3 linked regions of the Pelodiscus sinensis genome follow. The protein of the gene in region 2 interacts with the protein of the main gene of each other region in a pairwise test. Links are inferred from orthologs where the notes say so. Each region holds a gene or a part of one and is shown on either strand. Other genes may lie near its edges.

The links. The genes of interacting proteins can lie anywhere in the genome.
Region 1: the proteins of ANXA11 (region 2) and phospholipid scramblase 2-like interact in a two-hybrid assay, tested with the Homo sapiens proteins (2 studies listed by BioGRID and IntAct). The two-hybrid records come from large-scale screens. The link is inferred for Pelodiscus sinensis from reciprocal best matches to the Homo sapiens genes ANXA11 and PLSCR1.
Region 3: the proteins of ANXA11 (region 2) and PDCD6 interact in binary tests that used the Homo sapiens proteins (3 or more experiments, as listed by UniProt). The link is inferred for Pelodiscus sinensis from reciprocal best matches to the Homo sapiens genes ANXA11 and PDCD6.

What each region holds. Positions count from the first base shown.
Region 1 is NC_134720.1:23,898,511-23,905,967, reverse strand, and holds the start of phospholipid scramblase 2-like, read left to right. Parts: upstream 1-4,347; 5' UTR 4,348-4,362; coding exon 4,363-4,399; intron 4,400-7,457. UniProt on the Homo sapiens protein: Catalyzes calcium-induced ATP-independent rapid bidirectional and non-specific movement of phospholipids (lipid scrambling or lipid flip-flop) between the inner and outer leaflet of the plasma membrane resulting in collapse of the phospholipid asymmetry which leads to phosphatidylserine externalization on the cell surface.
Region 2 is NC_134718.1:12,605,777-12,612,888, forward strand, and holds the start of ANXA11 (annexin A11), read left to right. Parts: upstream 1-4,025; 5' UTR 4,026-4,181; intron 4,182-7,112. UniProt on the Homo sapiens protein: Binds specifically to calcyclin in a calcium-dependent manner. Required for midbody formation and completion of the terminal phase of cytokinesis.
Region 3 is NC_134712.1:144,942,726-144,949,717, forward strand, and holds the start of PDCD6 (programmed cell death protein 6), read left to right. Parts: upstream 1-3,882; 5' UTR 3,883-3,993; coding exon 3,994-4,088; intron 4,089-6,992. Other genes in the region: EXOC3 (exocyst complex component 3), read left to right, coding at 695-822, 1,618-1,789. UniProt on the Homo sapiens protein: Calcium sensor that plays a key role in processes such as endoplasmic reticulum (ER)-Golgi vesicular transport, endosomal biogenesis or membrane repair.

The DNA.
Region 1 (7,457 bases), on a different chromosome or scaffold from region 2:
GCCCTAATGTGACTTTCAGCTTTTCTGTTCTCTCAGGTACACAGGAAAACTCCCAGGAAATTTTGAATTTCATTTCCTGTTTGGCCAGCATGGTAGGCTCAGAGGAAGGAAGGAATGAAAGATGGAACTAAAGCATGCTATACAAGTTTTTAATGTGGGAATAACTGTGCTTTCTACCAAGTTTAATTATTAAATTATCTTTTAAATTATCTATTAAAATCTAGATAATTTGATTATAGTAGAAAGGAAGGGACAATGAAGGCACCTCAGGGTGCAGAGAGAAAGGGGGTCTCTCCCTTGTCTCCCCCCACAATGTATTTTTACTTCATTTAGTTCAACCAAGAGTCTGACAGGGCACTATCAATGGCATCCTGATCATTGTTATTAACTTGGAGACAATTTTTGGCCCAGCTGAAGACAATTGTACAGGGAGCTTGTGAGTACCTGCATGGCAATCACTAGGCTAATGAGGTAACAATATCAGGAGTGGAAATAGGAAGCAAAAGCAGCTCAGAGGGTGAACCTAGGCAGAAGCCTAAAGGCTGTGGGGAAGCCTACCCTTGCTGTAAGACTGCATTGGATAAATGAAGAATCAGTACACATCTTGGTGTGTGTTTGTGACTGTGAAACCACATGAACTGGCTACATAGCATGGTTCAGTGGGTTGCAACAGAGCTGCCCTGTTACAAGGAAAGACCCGTGCTTTTATTGCTATAGATACCACTGTTGATGTATATGCTGCCACTGTACATTACTCAAGTATAAAAGAAGATACATGAATAATATGCAGTTGTTTTTTAGATAAGTCATTCACAAAAGTGGTCTAGGAAAGGCCTCTTCGTCTTTAATTATAGTGTTTCGACCATCAATATTAACAATGTTTCACATATCAAAAAAGCCATCTGTGAAATCGTCATGTTAGCATTTACTAAGTTAAGCAATACTTAGGAATGTCAACAGATTGGAAGAACTGTTCTTACAAATCGTATCCTGCTCTGTCACTCTGCAAATATGATTGTGCAATGTTACTATGAGAATAACTGTGCTGACATCTCTGTTACACTTTTAAATATGCCCAATGAGAATCAAATGTTTCCAGAATCCTAAACAATCTCAATCTGAGCCAGCAGCTCATTCATTTAATAAGAGTACCAAGTCATCTCCCACAGTTGCTGATTTGACTCAGTAAATATTATATGATATCAGAAGTTATAGTGGAAAAACATGTTTAACAATAATTTCCTCAACTGCCATGACACTGAAAGGAAATGTTGTAAGAAGTTCCATCAGTTTAAGCAAGTTGATAATTGTTCTCACTGCCAGAAGGTCTGAGAAAACACCTAAAATACTGTCAGTGACTTTCTTGATGGGCCACTCCTATTATTAGTACAAGCACAGGAGGGTGATTTTGCCTTGACTATGGAAAACACAGAGATATAGTGTATCTCTAGCAAAATGTTATGTTCAAGAGATATTTGTCATTTGCAATGAATCTGTAACTGGAAATGCTCAAAGATGTGAATTTGGGTCACTTTGACTCATTAATGAACAGACAAGAAAGCATATGGAATAATATAATAAACAGATTGAGACACTAACTGCTACAGGGAGCATGAGTTAAATTTAATCTGCCCCATAAACATCGGCAGGGGCAGTGAAATATAGCCACAGGCTCTAGAAGGTACAACAAACACCAATTCAATGAAGCAAAAAAACATAGCGGAAGGGAATGGAAATCACAATCAAAATAGAAATAAAAAGTTTTCTGAAATCAGATTCATATTTGATAGAAACGATGGTGAATGTGAGCCAAGAAATATAGTCAAATACAAAGAGACATAAATAATTTTTCAGAGGTATATTGTACTGTTACAACGTACCACCTATGCTTAAAGAACAGCAAGGCTTTGGATCTTGGGGATATATGGACTGTACAGCAAACTTCTTCACCTTGCAAAATACAACTAAATGTAAATGACAGATGTAGCCATTAAATAGGATAATAATGCACAATGGAGTGCAGTCCAAGAAAAAAAACTAGCTAAGGAAAAGGTACAGAAATCTAAAGCAGATTTCACATTTAGGACATAAAGAGTGAGTCTAGACCAGTGGTGGGCAACCTTTTTTTTCAACTGAGCCAAATCTCGCCAAAACCACGATTGAAATTTATTTTGAGAGCCACATTTTTAAACCCGAAAATACATAGGATGGTACACTGTTTTTAGTTTCAATAAGTTTTTATTGAGAATATTCTGCATGCAAGTATGCCTTTTCACCACTCTTGGGTATGTCTACATAAAAAAAGTATGCTTAACTCAAGGGTAGCTAATTTAGGACAAAACAGTGAAGATACAGCAACACAGCATTTAACTCTTATTAGTATACTGTTAAAGTCTATAGGGCAGCCTCAGATGAGCTAGCACTGCTAACCCAAGTTTAAAGCTAAATTGCTGTGCCTTAGTGAGCATGAGTTAAAACCCTTTTCCTCAGCAGTGAACTGTTCTCTTCTGATTCCCCTACATCTCTAATCCTCCATCAATAGGTCTTTCTAAAAATCCTCATCCCCACTCCATCTTTCTGTGGAAGTTGTATAGGGCTCTTCATCTATACCTTATAGCCAAGTAAACTAAATTGCAAAGAAGTTCAACTAGCATCTCTATGCTGCCAGCTCAGTATTTCAGATCAGTCTCCCTCTGTCCAAATTCACATCTCAAGCTTGAAATTCCTAACTATAAGGTCACAGAAAGCAAATAAAACCTTAAAATGTTCAGGCTACAGTTACACATCACAAAGCAGCACAAAAGGAACAACCCCCTCCCAGCAAGTCAGTTTTAAATAAACAAAGCTCCCCCAGCAGTATCTGCAATCCAAACATGAGGAAGTGCATTAACTCACTGGAACAATTACAGAAAGGCTACAATAAAAAAAACCAAATCCTGCAACCCAATCGCCCTATTTTCATTGTTCAATTGCAAGAAGTGAGTAACCTCAAGGGTGAAGACTGCACTGGATTTTTAGAGAGCTTCCAGTTTCCAGAATCCCGGCTGTTCTTGTTAACACTTCTTAGAGGTATCTGTGTGTTGTCTGGTCTCTGGCTATCATGATAAGGGACCTTCTGCACTGAGTATCTTTGCACAGGCCCCTCCGAGTGATTACGATAAGAAAGAACTAGTATTTTACAGACTGTTTAATTCACACAGAAAGAAACTTCTTCTCTCATTTCAGACCAAGCAAAAATTCAGAATGAAGCATCGCTAAAATCCACCCCTCTACTCTCCCGGGCCGTTTATCTGCCCAGGAGTGTTTTACACAGGTTCAAACTAAATGCTCCAAAATGCTTAGCATAACGTTCAAAGCGCAACAGCAGCACAGGCCAGCCAGGGTGGGGGTCTCAGCTGAGAAAAGGCTCCGCAACAAAACAAACGAGCTGTGAAGCAAGGAGTGAGACCCGCGAGCAAAGGCAGCCCGCCCCAAGAGACTGGGGTCCCAGCACCAGAGACAGGCAGCTCCGTGTAGAGACCCCAACGCCACCACCCCCCGACCATACAATTCAGACACCCCGACTTCCCGCAACGAAAAGAAGTGTCTGATCTGCCCCTCCTCCACGCGTCCGCACTGTCCTTTCCCGCACCCCGCCCTTCCTGCCACTTCCCCGTCTGCCCTCTCCGTCCCCGCCCGCCTCACTGACCCGCCCCGTCCTCTACCCCTTCCCAGTGCCCCTGTCTCGTCCACTCCCCCGCCCCGCTGTGTGTCCGGCCGGGCGCCGTGCTGCCCCGGGCGCCACCCCCCCACTGCCCTTGCCCCCTCCTTTCTCCCCACCCGTCCCACTGCCCCTGCCCCCTCCATTCTCCCCCTCCGCCCCTGCCCCCTCCATTCCCCACCCGCCCCACTGCCCCTGCCCCCTCCATTCTCCCCCTCCGCCCCTGCCCCCTCCATTCCCCACCCGCCCCACTGCCCCTGCCCCCTCCTTTCTCCCCCTCCGCCCCTGCCCCCTCCATTCCCCACCCGCCCCACTGCCCCTGCCCCCTCCTTTCTCCCCCTCCGCCCCTGCCCCCTCCATTCCCCCCCCCGCCCCACTGCCCTCCTTTCCCCGCCCCTGCTCCCTCCTTCTCCCCCACGCCCCATCTTCCCCTCCGTCCCACGGTTCCTCCACCCGCCACTCTGCCCGGGCGGCGCCCCCCCCGTCCCTGCCTCTAGCCCCCTTCCTTTACCCCCCCCCCACTATCTCTATGCCCTCCTATTCCCGCCCCCCCGTCTCACTGCCCCCCGGCCCGGCACTCACACGAAGCGGCGCTGAGCAGCAGGAGGTGCCACCGGCCCCACTTGCCGAGACCAGCCATCGCCGCGCTCCCAACTGTGCCAATGAGCTCCGAGAAACACCACCCAGCCCCCTTCCCAGGTGAGGCCCCGCCCCCGGAGCCCCATTGGATCCCGGCCCACGCCCACCCGCCCCCTGCGGCCCTGCCCCACTCCAAATGCGGTTTGAATTGCGGTTTGGTCTAGTAACTAGACTTTTGGGGCGGCCGCCCGAGAGGAGGGAGGGGAGCGGGCGCCCGGCACACAGAAGAGCCGCATTAAAGCGTGTAAAGAGCCGCATGTGGCTCGCGAGCCGCGGCTTGCCGACCACTGGTCTAGACTACAGGGTTTTGTCAACAAAAGTGACCTTTTGTCGATAAAACTATACCTCTGTCTACACTATTGCCAAGTTCTGTCGACATAACATTGACAGAACTCGGCAGTTTTGCCAACGGCAGTAAACCTCATTCTATGAGGAATAACGCCTTTTGGCAACAGAGTTCTGTCGACAGAAGGTGTTATTGCATCTACACTGTCCTTTGCACCTACACTCACATGTCGACAAAGCGGCTTGCTTTGTCAACAGAACTGGATGTAGTCTAGACACTCTTTGTTGAAAAAAGCTTTGCTGACAGTATCTGGCCCAGCGGGCCATCGTCTGAATGGACTGTAATATCCACCATAAAGCTTCTAATACCGTGGTCACCAACCAGTCGATCGTGAGGCATTCGGGGCCACCCCTGTGATTTTCCCCCACCCCCAAGAAGTCCTACTACCTACCTCCAGTGACAATAGAAGTAGTGGCGGCTTCCTGCAGGGTGGACAGAAGTCCAGCAGCTGCGCGCCACTTCCAGGGGTTCCGGAAGTGCAGTGGCTGCTCCCCTCCCCCAGGTCTGTAGCGTGCTGGGAATTGGCATGGTGGGGCGGGGGGAGTCCCCAGAGGAGGTGCGTGCCAGGGTTTCCCTCCTCTGCGGGGGGAAGGGAGAGGGGAGAAGAGTGCTGGGAGGAGGCAGGTGCGGGAGACTCCCTGCCCCAACTGGCACCCTGTCCCCTGCTGCAGAACCCTGCCCTCTGCCCCCTGCCCCTCCGTTCTCCTCTGGTACCCTGTCCCCCACTGGCACCCTGTCCCCTGCCCCAATTGGCACCATCCCCTGCCCCAGCACCCACTAGCACCCTTCCCTACTACCATGTCTCCTGCTTCCACCAGCGTAGTAGGGGCCACAGTAGTGAGGTTTGGGGTTTTTTTGGAGGAGGTTTTTTTTTTGCATCTCACTTGTGTTGCCCCAACTGACTTTTCTGTGAGTCAGTGACACCTGATTCAAAACAGGTTCCCTGCCCTTCTAATAAATAAAGACAATGCAGAAACTTTTTGTGTTTGACATAGTATTTTATTTAAAAATGAAACCTGTCCAACAAACTCCCAATTGCGGCCAAGTCCCCATCTAGCCTCAGCATCATAACACTGCTACACCCCGTCCCAGACTCTAGATCTGAGCCTATCATACACTGGAACCCCCTGCCCTGAGCCCCTGACATATTCCAACCCAAATTCCTGCACCTTCACATCCACAAGCCTGTGGCTTGCTTAGTACCCCAACCCTCCATCTGACCTCAACACTCCCCAGCCAGGAGTCCCCTCCCTGAGCCAGCATCCCTTTCTCCACCTCCTCCAAATTTTCTCCCAGAGCTTGACCCTCCCACCCCTTTCCACACCCAAATCCCTCATTCTCACCCCAGAGCATACATATCCTGTCTCAAGCCAGTGAGAGTATTGCTAGACTGCAGGAGTTTTTCCAGGATTCCAGAGATATCCCGGAAAAATTCTTCCACGTCCATGGATGCGTTTGTTCTTCCATTTTTTCTGGCGGAAGAGCAAACATGCTCTTTCAGCAAGCCCTGTATTCCTCGTTCCACAAGGAATAAGGGGACTTCTGAAAGAAGGGTTTTTTCTGACATTTGGTCCTGTCCAGATAGGCCAAATGTTGGAAAAACCTCTTCCTACAGAAGAATCGGAAAAAAAGCAGCAGTGTAGAGTGTAAAAGGGCTGGGGATAGCAAGTGATGGAGAGGAGGAAAATAGAGAGGGTAGGTGGAGTCTTGGGGGAAGGATGGAGTGGTAAATCTTGGCTTGTTCTGACATTTAAAAAACGATCTTAGGTGTAAAAAGGTTGGAGACCACTGTTCTAATACCAAAAAAATCTATAATACCAAAATACAAAATGTTTCCGAATAAATGTGAGGCGGCCGAGGCCATGTGTGTATGTGTGTGTGGTTAGGAGTGGGTCGCTGCACCGGCTTGGCCTTAGTTTCTTTGGCACTAAAGTGAATGACATCACTTTATGGTTGAAATCAACGAAATGGACGTGCAATGCTCAATGCTCGATGGTGCATAACAGTAATGCGTAGGCCTGCTTTGTGCAATGGTGGAATCGGTGATGGATTAGCTTGAATCTTGACCGGTGAACAAAGAGTATGCAGCGGTTGGATGCGTTCTGTTATCGTCTGTCATTGTGGGTGTGTGGTTTTCCATAACTGACAATAAATAACAGTGTGAGTATGGTGTAAACGAACAAAGATAGTGTGCGTGAAAAAGTCGGCCGTTCTCAACTCATTTCCCGGGCCTATTTTGATTGCCAGTCCACCCCTGCATATAATTCATTTCAACCCTGTAAAATGGTCAAAGTGAATTGGTAAAATTTATACTGAAAAAACAAACATTAATAAGCATTTGAGAAGTGAGATGCTATTCACCAATCTATCAGTTTTAAAATATTATTCTTTAACTGAGCCATTTGTATTCACAGCAGATATTTTTGAAAAACCGCTATTTGCATCAACACTCTTAACGAGGCAGAAAGAAATGATGTATACACAGTAAAATATATATAATTTTTACAGTATCTTTGAGGACTTTTTTTGCTGCACTTTGAAATAGAACATCTTCCCTGCTACAGAGGCAGAAGAGAGTGCTACATTTTCTCTAGCTCCCTCAATTCCCAAGTTACAACAGGTAGTATATTTTCTTTAGTCTTTCTCTGCCCTTAGAATTTCCCATCTTTGTATGGTACTAGTACTATGTGAATAGGGAGAGGTGGTTATGGAAATTAGACAGCGGTTTTACTCTACATCAGTGCTGCTAATGGGCCATTCTGGTTTGTTTAC
Region 2 (7,112 bases):
AGGTCTTTGTAGCAGAATGCAGGTGGTTAAGTCATTGAGAGAGTGTCCTTTCTGGTTAAAATGGCAAGAAACTGGTTTTTCTTTGTGATCTTGTCTGATATCTGTTTTGTGGGCATTAATCCTTTGGCGAAGTGTCTGAGATGTTTGTCCAATGTACATAGCAGACGGACACTTTCGGCACATGATAGCATAAATTATATTTCTGGATGCGCAGGAATGTGTTCTTGATCTTGTAACTCACTTGGTTAGGTCCAATAATGGTATCAGCAGAATGAATATGTGGACAAAGCTGGCAACGGGGTTTGTTGCAAGGGAAGGTACCAGGGTTGGTATTAGTGGGGTATGTCCTGTGATTGTTGGTAAGAATCATCTGAGGTTAGGTGGTTGTCTATAGGAGACTATGGGTCTGTCTCCCAGAGCCTCTTGGAGTATGGTATCCTGTTCCAGTATAGGCTGTAGTTTATTGATAATGTATTGGACAGGTTTAAGTTGAGGGTTGTAGGTGATGACAAGTGGTATTCCATTGTTGGCTTCGTCAGGGGAGTCTCACTGCCTGACATTTGCAGAGCTGCTATGTGATCCTCCAGCACCACATTCATGAACCATTACGCTATAGTGCAGTGCTGGGCTGCGGACTCCAGCATGGCTTCAGCAGTACTTTCAGTCACTGAAAATCCCTAACGCTGGAGTGCATCCAGAGCACTGCTGTGTAGTCGCCTTCTGTGGAGCACACCATGGGGACCACTCGAAGTTACTCAGGTTGGTGCAGTAATGATGGCTCTCTGAGGTGTGTCCCCGTGGGTGCTCCACATCCCACCCTCCCCGTTCTAGGGCCTGCCTTTTTCGTTTCAGGTATCGGGACAGCGAGAGGAACGGGCGGGAACCGGGCCATGCGCAGTGGACCAAGTGCGTGAATGGTGCAAGACACTGTCTGCACATGCATGGCACAGCTGACAACGGCTCTTGAAAATCTGAGTTGCAGCGCCGGGATGAGCCTGACACCTTCCGTGGAGCACCCACAGGGACACACCTTGAACTGTTGTTACTCACCTTGGTGCAGTAACTTCTTCCTGGAGCTTGTGTGCCTGGCTCGCCCCTGCCCTCTGATGATGGGACACGCAGATGCGACCCGCCATCCCCCTGGAGAAGTGGGTTGCCATCGCTGTCTGCAAGCTCACGACCCCACAGTTACGGTGCATGGGCAACCAATTCACCATGGGAAAGTTCACTGTTTGGGGCCCTTCTCTTGGAGGTAAGGCATTCTCAGGCTGCAGTCCCTACGGGGGAGGGGGACCATAGGGAAACAAGGGGGCGAGGGTGGGGAAGAATTCCCATGCTCTGCGGGGTTGTGCCGTCCCACCCTCTCACAGCCCTGGGGTGGCTCCTGGGATGTTTGGGGAGGGGAAGGAGGGAGAAGTGGGAACCTCCCAAGGGTTCAGGCATGCCCTCCTTCTGTTTTGTGTGTTTTTCGGTCTCCTCCTGCAGGTGGTAAGGGCCATCAACTCTGTCCTGCTGCACAGGGTCATCTTCCTGAGAGACCTGGACCTGATCGTTGCCAGATTTGCTGCCCAGGGCTTCCCCAACTGTGGGGGAGCCATAGATGGAACCCACATCCCAGTCAACTCACCACATCATTGAGCTGCCAACACATCAACCGAAAGAGCTAATTCTCAATGGTGCTGCAGGCCCTGGTTGACTGCCGTGGATAGTTGTCATGATCATGAGAGATGGCTAGCAGCTTGGGGACTAAGGGTTTAACTACACCTAAGCATGGTGAAGTGGCCAATAGGCATGTAGAGAGGAAATTCAAACTGGGACAAAGGAATTTTGATTTTTTCCTTCCTTTGTCCTTAGCAATTCCCTCCAGCTACTGAAGGAGACAGACATGTGTCTGTCTCTCTCTAAAACAATTCTTCACTCTTCTGTAAGTAGGGTAAAGTTTAGATAAATCATTAGGTATTATGGTTTGGGAAATGGGATCTGATGTCTGTGCATTTAAAAATGCTTTTTGCTCTCTTTTGTAACTAAGCTTCTGGTCCATGGTGGGTTTCTCCTCCATGAGAAAATTACTTTGTTACTTTTCTGTCTAGTCATTATGCTTACAACAGGAATATTGTATTGATAATACAAGTTCTTTCTCTTGGTTTTTCTTAACCTAGCTGGGACGGAAGGGCCTTCAAGTTCCTGTGCACAGCTGCATTCTGCAAGGCCCATCAGGGGTGGGGGTGGGGAGGGAGTGCGCACGCATCTGGGAGCCCTGACTGGGAGTTTGTCAAGGACCCATACCTCTCTCCAGGGCCTCCCTGCAGGGGCCTGTACTCCTCCCCCCCCCGCCCCCCATGCCTTTCCTACCACAACCACTCCCTTCCCTGTACAGTCAATAAAGACACCAGTTTTGAGTTGAAAAACAAAACCTTTGTATTACTTTTATGAAAAAAAAAAAACTTGGGATGGTGGAGGGGGGCTCAGGGCTAGGAGTGGCGCACAGCAGGAAGTGCTGACTTGGTTCCGGGGAGAACAGGTGAGTAGGGCTGGAGCAGGATCAGATCTGGCTGGGGGAGGCAGGGGGCATAGGCATAGCATGAGGATCAGGAGCTGGGTGTGCCATGTAGCAGATGGTGGCACACGTTTTTGCCCTGCCACCCAAGCTGATCCCACATGTAGGTCTGACACTGGCCATCCTGGAAAAATGCTACAGTATAAATGTAGCCTACATCATGGTATTGAGAAACTGAATTAGGGTCTAGCCAGTGTTCCAACAACTGGGAGGGCATGGAGAGGGGCAGCTCCCTCAGGGCCCAGTGATTGGAAAGCACCCGCCCCCTGTAAATTACTGCTAGAACACTAGGGGGCATGGCAAGGGCAGTGCTGAAGCGCAGAGGATGTGAAAGTGGCAGGTGCACAGGCACCCAAATCGGACAGTGAACCCTTATCTACCATGATTAGCTTCCCCCAGACCAGGGCATGCAAAAGGCCCTGCTGGACCAGTGGAGGTGCACAGGCTGAAACGTGAGCCCCCATCTATTTACATTAGCGCCCTCTGGACCAGTGGCTGGCGCACTGGCAGCCAAATCTGACACCAGGAACCCCTGTCTATCAGGATTAGCTCCCTCGGCATCCATAAGCAGGGGTAGTAAAAACTGAGCGAAGCCCAACCTGAGGTGGTGATAGAAATGTAGCTGTTTGTCTGGTGTCGCTGAAACAAAAAACAGGACTGTGTAGCACTTTAAAGACTAACAAGATGGTTTACTAGATGATGAGCTTTCGTGGGCCAGACCCACTTCCTCAGATCAAATAGTGGAAGAAAATTGTCACAACCATATATACCAAAGGATACAATTAAAAAAATGAACACATATGAAAAGGACAAATCAAATTTCTTAACTCAAGTTATAAGATTAAGAACACATTCCTGCACATCCAGAAATATAATTTATGCTATCATGGGCCGACAGTGTCCATCTGCTATGTACATTGGACAAACATCTCAGACACTGCCAAAGGATCAATGCCCACAAAACATATTAGACAGGATCTCACAGAAAAAACAGTTTCTTGCCATTTCAACCAGAAAGGACATTGTCTCAACGACTTGATTACCTGCATCCTGTTTCAAAGGCCTTTTAGGATTGCACTTGAAAGAGAATCCTCTGAACTGTCATTCACTCTCAAATTCGACACTTTACACTTAAGTTTGAATAAAGATGCTAATTATCTTACCCATTACAAAGACAGCTCCCCCCATTATCACCTCTAATATTAGCTCACAGACATTTACCTCCCCCCCCCTTCTGTTCTGAAATGTGATTTGTCCTTTTCATGTGTGTTCATTTTTTTAATTGTATCCTTTGGTATATATGGTGGTGACGATTTTCTTCCGCTGTTTGACCTGAGGAAGTGGGTCTGGCCCACGAAAGCTCATCCCCTAATAACCTCAATTGCTGAAGTGCTGCGCCGCCCGAGCGCCGTGCGGCCCGCAGCCCGCTCGGAGCGCAGAGCGGTGACGCCACACCTGCCCGTTACGCGCCCCGCCTCCAGCGCGCTCAGGGGCGCCGCGGGCTGCTGGCTCCTCCCCGCCAGGGCGGCAGCGCGCTCGTCAGCCGCCCCGCCCCGCCCCGCCAGCGCCCAGGGCCCACCGGACGAGCCGCCGCCTCGCTTCGCCGAGAGCCCCGCGCCCGCAGGTAGGAGCGAGACCCCGCGGGCTGGGGCGGCCGTAGGCCCCGCCCCTGGCGCCCCCCTCAGGTGCCGGCAGCGGGGCGCCTCGGGAGCCAAGGAAACTCCCTCCCGGGGAGCCGCCGCGGGCAGCATCGGGGCCCTTGTGTGGAGCGCGCCGGGGCTGGGGGTCGCCTGGTGGGCGCGGCTGTGGGGCAGGCCGAGTTCTCTGTGTGCCTGGGGGCAGCCGCTTGGGGGGCGGCCAATGAGAACAACGTCTCTGGAGCTGCCTTGCGGCTTAGGTCCGGAGTGAGCCGTTCCTCGGCTGGAGCGTGCCCTCTGCCCCGGGTTCCGCCGCATCGCTCCCCCTCCTCGCTGGGTGCTGCCACAAACACCCCTCACCACAGGGACCGCTTTCTGCCGGCAGCCGCTTCCCTGGCGCCGCTCGCCAGTTTGCCGGATTGTTCATTGCGGGGAAATCCAGTTCCTAGTAAGCACTGGCTCCGAGAGCCGCCCTCTTCCTGGCGTTCCTGGACCTTTGGCTGGTTTTTTTGAGTGGCTGGACGTGCTTACTTTGCATGTAGGATACATCGTCTTAAGGGGAAACTGTTGAAGTTGACCGATTCATAATCCGATTTCCGTTGAAATAGAAACGCACAAAACCTGCTCTCTCAATCCTGGGAAGCCTGAGTTTCTACAAAGCTAGGCTTGCAACAGAGAGAAAAGTTTAAAATATCTGAGCAACCTGACTGTAATAAACCTGGTTTGTGTATGGGTACAACGCCTGCTTAAAAATAGAAGAACAGCCATACTGGGTCACTCTAAAGGCCCATCTAGCCCAGTATTCTGTCTTTTGACAGTGGGCAATACCAGATGCCCCTCAAGGAGAGAGCAAAACAGGGAATCATCAAATGATCCCTCTCCTGTCATCCATTTACAGGTTCTGATAGAGGCTAGGGACACCATTCCTACTTATCCTGGCTAGTAGCCATTGATGGACCTAACCTCCGTGAATTTATCTAGTTTTTTCCTGAACCCTGAAAGTCCTGGTCTTCACAACATCCTGTGGCAAGGAGTTCCACAGGTTGACTGTGCGCTGCATGAAGAAAAGCTTCTGTCTGTTTATTTTAAACCTGCTACTAATTTATTTGGTGATCCCTAGTTTTTAAATTATGGGAACACGTAAATAACTTTTCCTTATTCATTTTTTCCAGACCACTCGTGGTTTTATACACCTCTCTCATATCCCCCCCTTAGTCTCCTCTCTTCTAAGATGAAAAGTCAGTCTTTTTAATCTCTCTTCATATGGGACCTGTTCCAAGCCCCTAATAATTTTTGTCACCCTTTTCTGAACCTTTTCCAATGCTAATATATCTTCTTTGAGATGAGGTGACCACATTTGTATGCAGCATTCAAGATGTGGGCGTGCCATTATTGTATATAGAGGCAATAAAATATTCTCTGTAGTATTCTCTGTCCCTTTTTTAATGATTCCCAAAATTCGGGTTGCTTTTTTGACTGCTGCTGCACATGTTTTCTGGGAACTATCCACAATGACTCCAAGATCTCTCTCTTGAGTAGTTACAGCTAAATTAGTCCCCATCATATTGTATGGGTAGTTCTGGTTGTTTTTTTTTCAATGTGCATTACTTTACATTTACTAACATTAAGCTTCATTTGACATTTTGTTGCCTAATCACTTAGGCTATGGCTACACTGTAGCCTTTTTCCAGAAAAGCGTATGCAAATGAAGCATGATGTGGAATATCACCGTGCTTCATTTGCATAATTAATTAGCAGCCACCTTTGCTCAAGAGGCTTTTACACAAAAAGGAGCTATCTAGATGGTTCCTTTTTGCACACACACCCCCTCTTGTGCAAGAGCCATTCTTCCTGAAAAAATGAGGAAGAACGGCTCTTGCGCAAGAGGGGGGTTTTGCGCAAAAAAAGAGCTGTCTGCACAGCTCCTTTTTACACACAAGCCTCTTGCACAAAAGCAGCAGCTAATTAATTATGCAAATGAATCGTGGCGATATTCCACTCTGCGCTTCATTTGCATAAGCTTTTCCAGAAGAAGGCTACAGTGTAGCCATAGCCATAATGATGTCGGATCTTTTTGAAGGTTTTACTGCTTTGATATTCACTATCTTGAGCAGTTTAGTATCATCCTTGCTTACCCGGAATGTGATCATCCTGATGGCCTTCTGTATCTGTCCTTGTAAATGGGCACAGTATTGAAATCTAAATGAAATGCTCTATGGGCTTTGTTCTTGTATATTTTAATACCTGCCCACTTCTGCATATGGTAGGGTGAACCACGACACCACCTCTTATCCGCTCAACCAAAGATTAAAAATAGATGAACATATACATGTATATCTATGCTTTCAATATATGTTCCTAAGCCAAATGTAGTGAGCTGAATGAATTAGGCCCTGTTCTTGCTCTCACTTATGTGAGTGCTTTCCTTTCCGGCTATAAATAGTTCTGTTGACATCAGTTTTCTCAAGTTAAGATTCACTTGTGTTACTGCTTGCTTTTTTTTTTCTTTTTTTTTTCAGGATGTGTTTACATGACGAGACTTTACACAGGAAATTACTTTTCTCTCTTGCTGCTGTAGAGTTGTGACTCAACTGTATCCTCACTTTCTTTTGCTTATTTGGCTCTGCTGCATACAGTTTTATCAGGCTTATTTATTTACCTCTTTCCATTCAGTTTTCAAAATGGAGAGAGGTAAATAGGAGTGACTCTCAGATCTGTACTGGAACTGGTGCTGTTCAGTGTATTCATAAGTGACCTGGAAAGGGGGCTAAACGGGTGGCAAATTTTGAAGACAATATAAAATTACTTCAGATAGTGAAGTCCAATGCAGACTAGGGATGTAAAAACCTGTTTTATTGGCTAACTGATTAAACATACTATTTAACTGGTTAACCAATTAAAAGGGGGAAGAGTTGGAG
Region 3 (6,992 bases), on a different chromosome or scaffold from region 2:
GGTCTAAATTAGCTGTTGCCACTCAAGAAAGACATCTTGGAGTCATTGGGGATAGTTCTCTGAAAACATCCAATCAATGTGCAGCAGTAGTCAAAAAAGTGAACAGAATTTTGGAAATCATTAAGAATGAGATTGATATTTTCTGACTTACTATCTTATTGGCTCTTGTAGGTTGGCAGAGTCATCCCTTTGCATTGGCATCTGAGGGGACCCATGCCTCCCTACAATTTGCATCTGCCAGAGCCTTCTTAGATCAGAAAAAGAGTAGGGGGAAGGGGGAATTAACAACACACAAGAGGGGCTCATCCCTCAAGGTGGGTGGTCTGTACATAATTTGGACTGTGGCTGGTGACCAGGACAAAGTGCAGCTATCTATTCACCTAGTCTTTAAGCAGGGTGGGTGGCCACCAGTTAAGGTTCAGGCCTGCAATCTGGCGAAGCTGCGGTAGGCTATGTCCCCAGCCTTTAAGCAGGGCAAGTCAATCAGCAGTTAGGGCTGTAGTCTTTAATCGGGAAGAGCTGCAATAGTATGTTTTCCCCAGCCTTTAAGCAGGGAGAGCAACCAGCAGCTAGTTTTCTGGTTCTTGGGACACCTGGCATGGCCACTATTAGATGATTCTGGGCTAGATGGACCTTTGGTCTGACTCAGTCTGGCTGTTTTTATGGACTATGTTTTTTGTTGTTCAATTTATAGGGATCAGGAGAGGACACCGAAGGACTTTGTGACATCATTGTAGCCATTGCAGAAGTTATCAAGCTGACTGATCCTTCATTGCTTTATCTGGAAGTCTCAACATTAGTTAGTAAATACCCAGACATCAGGTAATACCATTCATACTTCTTAGCTTTTGAGTTTTACCAGTATTGATTATTTTAAGATTAATCCTAGGTTACAGAGAGTAGTCTTGTGTGGGGTATATATATCCTTTATTGGTTTTTTTTCGATTGTATGGTTTAATCAACTTTTTTGTAAGATCATATAATAAAATGCTAATAATTTAACACCTGTGATAGTGGTGTGGATGGGTATGTACTTTGGCATATGAAAGGACATATTTTGGGAATATAGAACAAATGTATACAACTGAATCTCTTTAACCCAGCAACTCTGTGCAACAGGGTTTGTTGGATTAATGATTGTGACAGGCCAGGAAAGGAGCGGGATGAGGGCAGGACACTTACCAGGAACTCTGTGTCCCCCATCGCTATGGGAGCAGTGGGTAAAAACCTCCAGCAGAATATGTCGCTGGGCTGCTGCTCCCTCATCAGGGGGAGAGGAGAAGCAGCAGTATACAGAGCCACATCCACCTGAGCCTGCCAGGATCCTGAGTTAGACACACCCAGAATACAAAGGTTATAGTGTATTACACAACACCCATATCATAGTTTCGAAGTGAGAATTCTTCATGAAGAGACTGAAAAGTTAACCTGTGAGCACAATTTTTGAATGCCTGGAAGTCTGACTAAGTACCAAGGTATTCTGGCACTGAATGAAAAGATGTTGGCGGGGAGAGGGGACACTAGAAGATTTGTGATCTAACATATTTTGTCAAGGAAAATGTGACAAGTGCTTCATTACTTGTACTGACATTTCTGGTTTGTACTTTTGTTTGGCAGAGATGACCACATTGCGGCTTTGCTGACAGTAAGAGGAGATGCCAGCAGGGACATGAAACAGACCATCATTGAAACTCTGGACCAAGGTTCAAGCCAACCAAATCCTAACTATGTGCCAATTTTTAAAGAAATCACCGTTCCTACACTAAGTGTGCCAAAACTTCTTAAGTAACTGTGATAAGCTTGAGTTCATGTGTCAGTTTTGGTATGGGGTCAACATATTTGAATGTTATAAGGCAAATTTGGCAATGTCACTTTAAAGGACACCTAATACAATGTTACTTACTAGATATACGTTTTTTAAAATGTTTGGTGCTGACAGCTGTAATGAAGATCCTGGAAATAACCAGCTGTAGAAATCAATAGCATGGCTGCTTGAAGAATTAAATTTTCTGATGGCCAGAGTACTTTGTACTGACTATTGATGTGTTACAGCCATAGGCACCATCAACAAATATATTTTCTCACAATTACTTAACCTACTACTTTGTGTATTTACTTTGATGTAAAATTATTTCAGAAAATTTAATTATGAAATTCAAAAATGGCTTAATAAAATGACTGAACTAGCTAGTATATAATTTGGTTCTAGGGTGAATAAATGAAAGAATTTAATACCTAAGGTACAGTAATATTTTTTCATCCATTTGACTTCCACGGAGTGTATATTAAGCACTGCCAGATGCTAAATTAAATAAAATGTTATAGCTTAAACACTATGTTCTTTGAACCTATATAGATTCACTTCCTTTTAAGTCCTGTAACTATGAAGGTTTAAATGCCAAAAAAGGGATTAATAATTCAGTACTCCAGGTGAATTCTGTGCCAAAAAAGGAAGGAAAACAAAATATTGCCCTGTGGCAGGAACTGGCTGGCTCATCCTGCTTGACTGGTTTATGCTTCTGGCAGCTGGCAATAGCTCTATGGCTAGCTGAACAGACTGGCCTGTCACCTTTTGGTTTTGTAGTTGTCATCAACCTCTTCTCCCCCAAGTTGGTTTATTTTGTTTCTTGTGTTCCTATTCAATGGCTTCTGGATTCTTTATATTTATCCAATACTAAGTGGCATTGCCTGCCACCCTGAGAAGGTCCTGCCAGCCAGCCAGCAATTGCCACTAAAGGTGTGTCCCACCTCACACAAGCATGTGTCTAGATATGGCAGAGCAGATATAGGGGGATTCACAGGAATTTCTGAGGTTTTCTGGCCAGCATGGGGTGGCTGCTTTGCAGCCTAAAGCACCAAGCCCCCTACAGGAAGCAGCTTTTTGGGAGGAGCTGGTCTGCCCTTCTGCAACTAGCCCAGGCATCCGGAGGCCAAGAATGTGGCTGTGGAAGCCTGCCCAGGCCCACTCTGCAGAAATGAAACTCACTGTCTGCAGCACCCAGGGGGTCACTGATGCTGTGCTTGCCCAAGTAAGGATGTTAAGTATTGTGTAATTGACTAATTGAATAGTTGATGCATTTTTACATCAACTATTTGATTAGTTAATCGGGTGGTGCTGCCCCCTTTGAAATGCTGCTGAGGCATTTCAAAGGGGCAGTGCTGCATGGAACCCCCAGGCTCCAAGTGGTGCTGCTGCTTCCAAGTACCTCTCTCTTCCCCCCCCCCTCTGCTCTGTCTGGCAGAGGCAGCAAGGGGGGGGAGTGATGCTGATAAGCATTTGCTTACTGGATAGTCAACTAGCCCTTCACCTCCCTAGCCCAAAGGCTCAGAGGATATGCTGGAGGCAGGGGTGCTCGGTGTGTCGGGCGCACAGCAGGGGCCTTTGCATGTCCGTTCAGCCCCAGATGTCCAATTTTCAAACCCAGCCTGTCCTGCCTGGCCGCCCTCTCCTGAGAACGGAGCATTTGGTCTTGCTGACCGGGGACAAAGGCTCGCGCCTTCCCCGTAGGTAAAGAGCGAGCTGCGCGGCGCACGGGGGAGGGGTCCAGTGACCAGCAACAGCCCCACGCGGGGGCTGGGGGGCAGCGCGTGACTCCCTTTCCCTTCGGCAAACACGGGCACCCGTTCCCCATGCGGGCAAGCTCGGGCAGACGGGTCATCGGCCCCTCAGCGCGCGCGGACTGTCCCGGGGCTGTGGCAGCCGATGCCCAGGGCTGAGCGCGCGGACACGCACTGCAAACCCCCCTCCCCCCAGGTGGCAGTTGCGTCAGAGCCGTTGCGCCTCAAAGATTCGCCCGGGGGCGACGTTTCTCTTGGAATCCCCACGGGCAGGGGGGAGGGGACGTTGTGGAATCCCCGAGGGCGGAGCGGGGCTGCTCCCAATTCTAGTCAGTCAGGTGATCCCCTGCAGTCGAAGGGCCGGAAGCGGAAGTGAGGTAGCAGCTTGCGGACGCGTGACCGTTGGGGAGCTCAGTCGCTACTGCGAGCGGGGCGATGGCAGCGGGCTACCAGTATCGGCCGAGCGGCGGCGGCGGCGGCGGCCCCCCGGGCATGCAAGATCCCAACTTCCTGTGGGGCGTGTTCCAGAGGTGAGAGCCCCGCGCCTCGATCTCCCCTGCGGGGCGTTGCCCGGGTGCCCCCGCCCACGGCAAGCGCCCCGAGCCTCCCCCTTCCCCTCAGCCTGCCTCGCGCCCCGGCCCCGCGGGGCCTCTGCCGGGGCGGTGTAGGGATCCGCTCCCTGTAGCCGCCCTTGTGTCTCTGCGCCCCCCCCCCCCCCGCCCCAGTTGACTCTCGCCGCCCCTCCCTCCTCCTGGCCGGCCCCGCCCGGGGCAGCGCCACGGTCCCCAGGTCATTTTCTCCAGCCCAGCCCTGGGGCGGAGGCGGCTCCACCCGTGGCAGTGATAGAGACCAGTCCGGTGCCTGCCCGTGCGGGGCCGTTCCAGGCAAAGCCGCTCCCGCCTGGTTGAAGGGGGTGTGCAGCAGGGATGGTGAAGGTTAACCGGTTACCCAGTAAGCATTGTGTTTACCGGTTAGGTAACTCGTTAACCACCCAGGCTGCCCCGGGCAACCCTATGCCCTGCTAGAGCTCCCCTCCACTCCCCCAGTTTGCACCAATTTAATCGTTCAACCGATTAAATTTAACATTTAAGCGGTTCACTAATTAAGTAGGATTTTACATCCCTTGTCTGCAGTGGCTGTGTACAGACAGTGTCTGATGTTAGCAGCAAGGGAAGGAGGTGTGAGTAGCGTTACAAAGCCAGAGGGTTAGGTAGGCTTCTGAGCATGTAGGGCAATATGCAGCTCCTGGAGACACTGCAATATGCCTGGGGCTTAATCCTTATTTTGGGGATGAGGAGAGCAATCCTGAAAATAGCCTTAATTTATTTCCCCCACTGTATTTCATTCTTGCAGAGGTGCTAGAGGAGTATCTTCTAAGACTCCTGCCGTATAGGTGTTGTTAGATAATATGTCAAGCTTTTTATGCCAAAACTTCTGATTAGGGGATGATTACTTACTGATTATTTTTCCTCCAAAGGTCACTCTCAGTACTTGCAGTGCTCCATCTGCTTGTAATATGAGTTTTTCATCTGTTCCCTGGCTTTTCTTTTCCTCTGCTTCAGTGTTCATTACTCAGGTTTTTACATTCATTTTAAATATTGTATTGTTGAATTCATTCTCTTCTGTAACATATATCCAAACTATATTTGCTTTTTTCTGTCATTTACCAGTGCCTTTCCCTATTCATTTATAAGTGTGTGTGTGTGTGTGTGTGTGTGTGTGTGGAGTCCTCAGACTTATGATACAATGCAATTTTGAGGAAATAATTGTAAGCTGAAATGTTGTAAGATGAGACCACTTTTCCGTAGGAATTGGAAAAAAGAGGGAATTGGTTCCTGAACCATGGCTTGAAATACCATTTTCACAATAATAACCTAGATATTTGTATTAAATGAATTATAGCAGTGTTTCTGAAACTGCTCTGCAGAGCCCCAGGGCTCCGTGAGACATCTCCAGGGGCTCCGTGAGGTTGACAAACTGGAAAGCCTTCAAAAGCATAATTGAGAATCATCTCGAACGGATGCAATTAACACACACCGCTGGGGCTCCGTATAAATTTTTACGCATGTAAAGGGCTCCAGATCCCAAAAGTTTGAGAACTGCTGAATTATAGATTAGGGATGTAATAGCGTAGCTGATTAAATGATTAACCGAGTGTGTGTCTATTAATTCTATAAGCTACATGATTAAGAAAAGTATATGCATCTTAACCTCCCTATTATAGATTATTAATGTACCAAAACAGCATTCAGCTAAACTTAAATTCGGGGGTTTCTGTAAAGTCTTAAAATGTCCAAAGAAGTTTGGACAGATGTACTCTTCTCTTGTAAATATCTCTGTAGCAGCAGTACATATTGAATATGCCCCTATTCACAGGTGTACTGCGTTCAATAATGAGGTTATATTCCTCAAACAGGGACATGGCAGCTTTCAAATTTGAAGTGTTGGCTGAGGCAGGAGTTTCAGTAGTGAATGCATCTTCCTCTGCCACCTTCTGCTTTTCCTCCTCACTGACATCCTCATTAGTTAATTCTTCACAGTGTGATGCCAGCAACTCATATCTTCTGGTGAGTGCTTTGCCTGTCCGAACAACTCCTTGGGTCCTCTCTTCAGCAGTGTCTGTGAATCCTTGAAAATCACACACAGTTAGGATACAATTTTTGCCAAACGCCATTCAAAATTGGATTTTTTTTTCAACTCATTCCATGCCTCAGCATTGTTTAACTGCATGGTATATGTTGAAACCTTTCTGGGAGTATTTTTGAGGGTTAACAGTGCTAAAATTGTTTCTACAATAGCTGCTTGGCACAAAATTATGACTTAATCAATCCTCAAACGTTTTCGTTGACACATGCCTTAGGACTTAATTTTCATATCACTGGGAGAAATGCCTTGGAATATCCCTTAAAGCCCTGGGGTTTTCTGGCTGATAAATAAGCAAGAGTGTGAGTTTAAAGTCACCGTCAGCATTTGTATTGAGCAAAGAGTGAACCTATCTTTAGCAGCTTTGAACCCTGGTGTGCATTTCTCCTCTTCGGCTATGTAATTTGTGATGGAATTCTTTTCCAAAAGAGCCCAGTTTTGTCAACATTAAAAACTTGGCATGCATAACAGCTACCCTCCTCAGTGATTCTAGCCAATGTGTCAGGAGAAGCACTGAGGTACCTCCTTATCACCACTGGCAGCTTCATCTGATGTGCAAACTGACTTTGGCTGTAAAATGCATCAATTAGCCCCTGCTTGCATTCAGGGGCTCATGAGTAAAACCCTGTTTCTTTAGCTCTTCATAAAGATTCTTTGCCTTTCCTGAATTATGCCTAAGCTTGCAGGAGCTCAGTGTTAGTTTTGATTCTCCAGCCAAACAGTTTCTCAACTAGGAATGTAAATACTCATTTAAAAAAATAACCAGTTAAATGATATAATTTTTATTGTTT